Oryzias latipes: one gene and its partner. The protein of the gene in region 1 purifies or fractionates together with the protein of each later gene. This does not show direct contact. Links are inferred from orthologs where the notes say so. Each region holds a gene or a part of one and is shown on either strand. Other genes may lie near its edges.

Evidence for each region. The genes of interacting proteins can lie anywhere in the genome.
Region 2: the proteins of tmprss6 (region 1) and hemojuvelin purify together in Homo sapiens (co-immunoprecipitation; 3 studies listed by IntAct). This does not show direct contact. The link is inferred for Oryzias latipes from reciprocal best matches to the Homo sapiens genes TMPRSS6 and HJV.

What each region holds. Positions count from the first base shown.
Region 1 is NC_019859.2:24,708,519-24,712,203, forward strand, and holds part of tmprss6 (transmembrane protease serine 6), read left to right. Parts: intron 1-1,647; coding exon 1,648-1,790; intron 1,791-2,406; coding exon 2,407-2,474; intron 2,475-3,270; coding exon 3,271-3,452; intron 3,453-3,574; coding exon 3,575-3,616; intron 3,617-3,685. UniProt on the Homo sapiens protein: Membrane-bound serine protease. Through the cleavage of cell surface hemojuvelin (HJV), a regulator of the expression of the iron absorption-regulating hormone hepicidin/HAMP, plays a role in iron homeostasis.
Region 2 is NC_019874.2:31,647,057-31,650,741, reverse strand, and holds part of hemojuvelin, read left to right. Parts: intron 1-1,701; coding exon 1,702-2,231; intron 2,232-3,259; coding exon 3,260-3,685. UniProt on the Homo sapiens protein: Acts as a bone morphogenetic protein (BMP) coreceptor. Through enhancement of BMP signaling regulates hepcidin (HAMP) expression and regulates iron homeostasis.

The DNA.
Region 1 (3,685 bases):
CCACATAAAGGCCACATTTGGGCCTTGAGTTTGACACATGTGCTCTAGGACTTAGGAGGTGATAGATCATAAATCCTATGAGGAGTTTAAAAAGTGTGGCTGGTACTAAGGGTGATTTGTTTTGTGGAACATTCAAGATGCCGGCCTCTTCCTGAGGTGAAGCTCTACGAAACTACAGTTGTGGTTGTATATTTAAGCTTGTGGCGTGTGTGAGGAATTTTGTAAAGATCGCTGGAACAAGTTTTCTTGTTGAGGAAAGATGTCAAATTTCGCATTTTGGCGCAAAATAGCACCCAAGCTGTAGGTCCTGTGGCCATCCCATAATAATTTCAAAACTTCCTTTGAATATGTTATGTTGGACATGTGTGTTTTTGCTACATTAGTGTATTTAGAAAAATTTTTTTAAGCCCCATAGGAGATTTTTGCCCCATTCCTTTTTTTATGGTTCATTCACTAGGTCAAGAAATCATTTTCACTGGGTGAATTTGGCAAGTTTTTGAGCATATGGCGGGGGTGAAATTATTGCTCGAAGGCAAAGTGAGACAGATAAATTGCAAAAATAATATGGTCCTTGCAATCCTGCTGTGGGTCATATAAATGTATATAAGAGTAATACTTGGTTATTTAATATTCTTTATTGCACAAAACCAGTCCAAAATCCCCCATTTTCATTTAAGATTTTTTACATGACTGCAAAGCCGTTCACAACATTGGTTGTGGTGCAGCGGTAGGGCGGTTTACCCATGATCATAAGATTGCAGGTTCAATTCCTACATGCCTTGCATGCCCATGAGTTGATGTGTCCTTGATCAAGACACTGAACCCCACCTTGCCTCTGGTGGTAGGCGGGTGCCTTTGTTTAGCAGCGGAGCCGCCACCAGTGTGTGAATGTGTGTGTGACTGGGTGAATAGGTCTGTGACTGTAAAGCGCTTTGGGCCTTGTAGGTAGAAAAGCGCTATATAAGTATACGCCATTTACAATTTTACCATTTCACAAAGATGTACTAACAGAGTCTTTAAAAACAGGTGTGTTACCTCTGTAATGCTTTGCCTCTAGTGCATCTGGCACAAGAGCTACTTCTTTTGCTCCACAAAAAGTCAGAGTACTGTGTTGGCTTGTAGCCTGTCCAGTAAATGTTTATCTTTCTCAAAATAAAATTAAGCAAATGTAACTTTGCATATATCAGTAAACTGTTTAAGCATTAAAATTATGGAGCATTTGCAAATGTCTTGACTTGTTTTGAGAGTTTTAAAAAACATTTAGACCATAAACAAATTTAGTTGTATTGATTTAGTTTTTGACTCTCTGCCACTCTTTCCTTTCAAAGCAATTAACCAGGACACAGAGCTATAGATAAGCATGGATTACAAAGTGTGTTTGTTTTTGAAGTATCTGTTTTAAGTTGTAGCTATGCATAATTTCCTAAATTCCTTCAAATTCTCCAAAGTTTTAAGAAATATAAAATATTTTGTTGTTAATACAGGAAACACTGAAATATAAAATTAACAATAGAAGTGTCTTTAGCAAACTTACGTAAGAAACTAAACTAACACAAGAGTTGCTCCCAGAAATAATACAGTAAGACATGCATTCAATTGTGGACTTACTTCATTAATATGGGCATGTTTCTTCTACATCCATGACAGAGTACAGGGTCTGGACATTAGAACCTTGTGTGGAGCAGCAGTACACAGGCTATCTAACCATCCTAAACAAGAATTTTTCTACTGAATTGTCCTCTCACAGCAGTCCTGTGTTTAAAAGAGAAGCCAAGGGAATCCAAAACACGGTGAGCAGCAAAATCCAACATGTCTTCATGCTGACTGACACAAGAGGAACCTGATAATCAGAAATGATTTAGAAATGTAAAAGTTTGTTGATGGATCTTAATCTTATCTCATAAAGCAAGGAAATCCTCTCAGACATGTGTCTAGAAAAATTGAAATCATAATGTATAACTGTTATTGCTGCATGGCTACTTTCCACTAAAAATGCAAAAAAAAAAAAGTACTCTTTCAAATTCTGGAGAGATTCTGTGATTGACTCAGTTCTGTGGGAGTTTAGGGCATTGCCATCTTGTTATTGACCAAATGAGGAAACAGTTGTGTATTTGTAAAATCTCCTTGTACAAACTTTCTACATTGAGAGTGCCTCCTGTGGTGACATCATAGTGCTCTTTTTCTTTAAGACATTAAGGCTATGATTCATTTGCTGTTGGTGAAATGTTATCATGCTAAAAACTCCCTCATACCAATCAAAACTAGCATTAAAACAGTGAACCATTGGGTTTGTTCTTAGCATAGAAGAATTATCTCTATTTTTATTGGAAGAAATAAAGACTTTAAGATCTGTTTGAAATTTAGAAACTGAAACATCAGACAACATTATTTTTTTCTGTCTTTTAGGTCAAGAATATAATGAAGGCTTCATGTCTGTCACGATACTTTAACTACACCACTGTTTTTGCTTTTGGGTAGGTAAAGCAATTTATTAAATGAAAAACAATGTATTTCAAATGTGAAACATTAAACCAAAAGTGTATACACAAATATGAAAGATAACACAAAAAAAATGAAATTAATTTGACACAAACAGTAAAAAAAAATATTGAAAAGTTTAAAATTCTTTAATCTTTCTTCAAATTATTATTATTAAAGAGGTGGTAAATAATCCTTAGGATATTTATTTGAAACCCCAAACAAGTGTGTGGACTATGAAATGTAATTTAGATTGTATAATATATTTTTAGTTCAGTTTTATCTATGTTACTTTAGCAAAATTCTTTACACTTTGAAGCAGTGATCACACTGTCAAAAAAAAGTCATGAGAAAATTGCAGCCCAATTCTAAGACTGAAAATTCTTGCTTTTCTTTCAAATTTTTTACACATTTTTGCAATTATTAAATTTTTATACGACAATTTTCAATGCAAAAATGCATCTAAATTGCTAGGAAGCAAATCACAGCAACCTTTAAGGGTTTACGGCGAAAAGGAACACAGCAAAAATATATATTCTGAGCTTGAGTGCATGTGTTTGGGTTTTTCAGACCATACTAATGAAAAAATAAACAATTTGAAGCAGCTAGGCTTGCAGTTGTGCTTATTAGTCAGAAAAGCAATTGAGTCAAACAGAAATAAATTCAGTACTTGAAAAGTACTGAATTTAGGAGGGAAGGAAAAGTTGTAGAATCAGTTCCATTAGATTTTGATGTTCAAGATTCATGTTCAAGATTCAGCTTTATTTGAATTATTGACCTTTTTTCTTCAAGCCAGGGCAGTCTGGTGGCTCATTTCTGGATAGTTCTGTCCGTACCCAGGAGCCATGATGGTGGAGTCACAGTGGAGAAGGTGACAAGGACCCTGGAGGAGGGCCTGAGAGAGCGATCAGTAACGGAAGACACAAGCAGCATTGATGGCTTTCTGTTCCACCTTCCCACGCTGTCTGTCAGTGGTGAGAAAAAAACATTTTTAGTGGGAGGGTGCATGATGGAGATACAGCAAGTGCTTTTAAACCAGAAATTTTTTATTTTATTTTACAGGAAATATTTTTGTGTCTTTGTTCTATTCCCACAGAAACTGATCCCAAAGTCATAGCTCTTTTAAAGGCTTCCTTTGGTATAAATGTTTCTTTCTTTTCTTTTTTCAAACATGCATGCAACAATGGAGACAGTTTTTTTTGGGGTT
Region 2 (3,685 bases), on another chromosome or scaffold:
GGATTGTCCACACCTTTTTGCACTGATTTTCTTAGTCCTCTGAATCTATTTTGACGCAGACATAACTGTTTTTTTCTGGAAATGCTAACACCGCTGCTCAAACTGCAACTCTGGTCTTAATTTGCAATCAATGAGCCCAGAAGAAGAGCTCTACAGCAGGGCTGTCAGAATCCAGGCCTTTGAGGGCCAGTGTCCAAAACTGTTTTCCAACCAATCTCCCACTGAAGCTCCTTATTGGCAGATAGGCGGGATTCCTGGAAAACCAGTAGAAGACCGGCCTTCGAGGCCTGGAGTTTGACCCCCCTGCTCCACAGGGATTACGTGTGGTCTGAGTCCTTTAAAAATTTAAATAAGCATTTAAGTGAAATTCAACTTGGAAACATGCCACACATGGTTAATGAGTGTTTTTAAACCAGCAACCTTTCATGAAAAAAGAAACCTCTTTTGTTATCCGTTAAGGCCTGTACACACCGGGCCGAATATTCGCCAGCCGTTATTCGCCAGCGTTTTTCAACACGTTTTTTGTGCTTACACCAAAGCGATTTTCGCTGACGATGAGCCGAGCAAACATGCAATTTCATTCCCTGACATTAGATGGCGCTTAATGTAAAACAGAAATACTCCTGTACACAAGGTGGCGCTGCGCAACTTTACGCTTCTTAAAGTCGCTTTTCACTCAGAAGAAGAGAGCAAGTATTTACGCGCTTGTCAGAATCCATCAAAGAAAACATGAATATTTCCAGCACCAGTTGCTCCAGCTCCAGTTCCAGCGATGAAGAAATTATTGTTCTGTAGATTGATGAAAGACGTCGATTTTGGGTACATCCCATAGTTACGAGAAGAGAAGAACATGGGGAGTTTTATCAACTGGTACAAGAGCTGAAAATGTATCATGAGCGTTTTCGGGGATATTTTAGAATGTCCGTCAGTGAGTGCATCTTCTTCGTCTTATTTCTTCGCGGCAGTGTAGCGTATATCTTCTTCGCCGTGACGTATGTGTGCTCAGCAAGACAGTTTTGTGTTTGAGCGCCCCCAAATTGTGTTTTACTGTAAACCAAACCAAAAAAACGAACCCGAGGCCTTTTTTTAAAAATGACGCTTTTATGTGTGGCGTTTTTCGCGTCAGTGTGAACACTCACATTGGTGCCCTTTGTTTAGTCACGAGGCGTTAAATGTCGGCGAATATCGCGCGCGAAATTCGCCTGTGTGTACGGGCCTTTAGTTTATTAAAACCTTTATTCTGACAATATCACTTCATCTCCTGACAGACTCCCTCTTCTGTAAAGAAACTCGATTACTACTTCACTTCATTCCTTGATTCAATGTGCAGAGCTGTTGTTTTCTTATAAAGCACAAGGATTTCTTTAATGCTGGGGTCAAACTGTAGTGAAATGGTTTTAGACTCAAAGAGCTGGAATGTCATGTGGACTTAATCATGGCGACCCGAGACTTGTTCTAGTTCACAGAGTCCTGACTTGGGTCCTGTCCGCCACTGGTGCGTGTCAGTGTCGGGTTCCTATGTCGGAGAGTCCTGTACTTATCTGTATTTTTAGTTTTCTGGGGGCTTCACTCTGTAGAAATTTGGGGAAACCGTAACGGCACATTCAGAAAAATTTGCATGCGCCCCTGGTTTGACATGAGTGGAAGAATGAAGGTCCTCAGACCCTGTTCAGATGAACTCTCTCTCTGATCTATTTTCAGTGGGATCCTCCTGCCATATCCTGAAGTGTAACTCAGACTTTGTGGCTGCAAAGTTGGACCTGGGGAGCAGCAGTAGTGGAGGGGCAGTAGGAGAAGCTCTGCCCAGCAGGGAGGCGGTGAATGCCGGTTACTGCAGCGCCCTGCGCTCCTACACGCTGTGCACCAAGCGGATGGCTCGGCCGTGCCGGGGTGACCTGGCATACCATGCTGCGGTGCAGGGCATTGAGGACCTGCTGATTCAGCATCGTTGCCCCCGGGTGGGGCCCACGGCCCAGCCACGGCCCCTACCTCAAGGCACGCTGTCAGGAAACACCTGTCTGTATGAGAGGAGCTTCTTTAACAGGAAGGGCCAAATGCCAGAGTACCTGCACTGCGCCATCTTTGGGGACCCCCATATTCGTACTTTTAACAACGAATTCCAGACATGTGCAGTACAGGGGGCGTGGCCTGTCATTGACAACGAGTACTTGTATGTGCAGGCAACCAGTTCACCAGCAAAGGAGGGGTTGTACCCCACAATCCTCACCAAGGTGAGCTCAAAGAGTGATGTTTGTTTTCAGAAAGCTTTTGTCAAACTCCACAGGATCTTCACTCTCTGCTGATGCCACAGGGGACTTCTGCTCCTCAGATCGTTTAGTGTCAGGTGTGCCAATCTCTTGCTGACAAATTTTTTATCTCCTGTTTTCTTCACTTTGGAAGCTCTGTTACACATTTAAAAACACAAGGAAGTCTTGGTTGAAGTTTCAGTTTTACTACTCGATGTCACTAAACATAGGCCTCAGACCCATCTGTCCTTGAAGGTGGATGTGACTGTCTGCAGGTGAAATTTCGTGCAGGGCACACAGGTGACTTGCACGAAATATCAAGGTCATAGACTGCTACTTCTACGGGCATGCTGCATGTGGGCCACAGGTCGTAGTGAACATGTACACAACACGTGAAAGTAAGGGGGAAGTAGGTGAAATGCAGGCGTGCTGTACTGACCTTATGTTTTTTAACACCCCCCCAGCCGTTAGTGCTGTCACATGATACATGTGCGCACCCTGCTGCAGCCTGACTGTTAGAAATGAGGAAATTGTGTGACGAGTTGGTCCTGATACCAGCACAGCGACTCGGTGGAGTGTCCACCCTGACGGTAGGGGATTGTGAGTTAGAATCCACAGTTGGGACCTAAAAAGGAAAACAAGGCTTTTCTGCCCTCACACTCAACAGAAATGGATTGAGGGTCAAAACAACCACGTGGTTCCTGAGCAGCAGTGCACCGCTTCCCCAGGGGAGGAGCCAGAACTAATTTCCCAAACTCATGTGTATGAGACAATAGAAGGACTTACCAATGTTGAGACTAAGCTGTGGGACACACCGTCCATATTCAAAAGTGTCATGTAAGCAGAAAAACAAGACTTTTTAGTCTGTGTCAAAACTGATCTATCAAGCTTTTTGATTTCAAAACCTTGTATAGTTAAACTCTCAGTGACTTGGTTCCACACATGTTTTATCGTCACACCTCCACAGATCACAGCAGAACTTCTCGTGTCTTTTGTCTTGTGTTTCCTGTCAGATCACCATAATCTTCAAGAACTGGCGCCAGTGCATTGACCAGCAGCTCTACCAGGCGGAACTGGATAACGTTCCCGCTGCCTTCGCTGACGGCTCTGTGTGGAGCGGCGAGCGGTGGGGTCACCGCAGTCTCTCGGTGCAGACGCAGAATCCCGGCCAGCACGCTGAGATCTGGGCGGCACACATTGCCACGCTGCTGGTGGTGCGCCAGAACGGCGGTTCTCTCAGCTTGTCTGTCCGGTCGCCCCGCAGCGTGGTGGAGGCCTTTGAGCCAGAGCATGACCTGCAGCTGTGTGTGTGGGGCTGTCCCGCCTCCCAGAGGGTCAGCATGCTACGCCCGCCCCCTCCTGAATCTGTGGTGTCTCTAGCATCTGCCCATTGCGGGGCACTACTCCCCACCCAAGACATCTACTACAAGGCCTGTGTT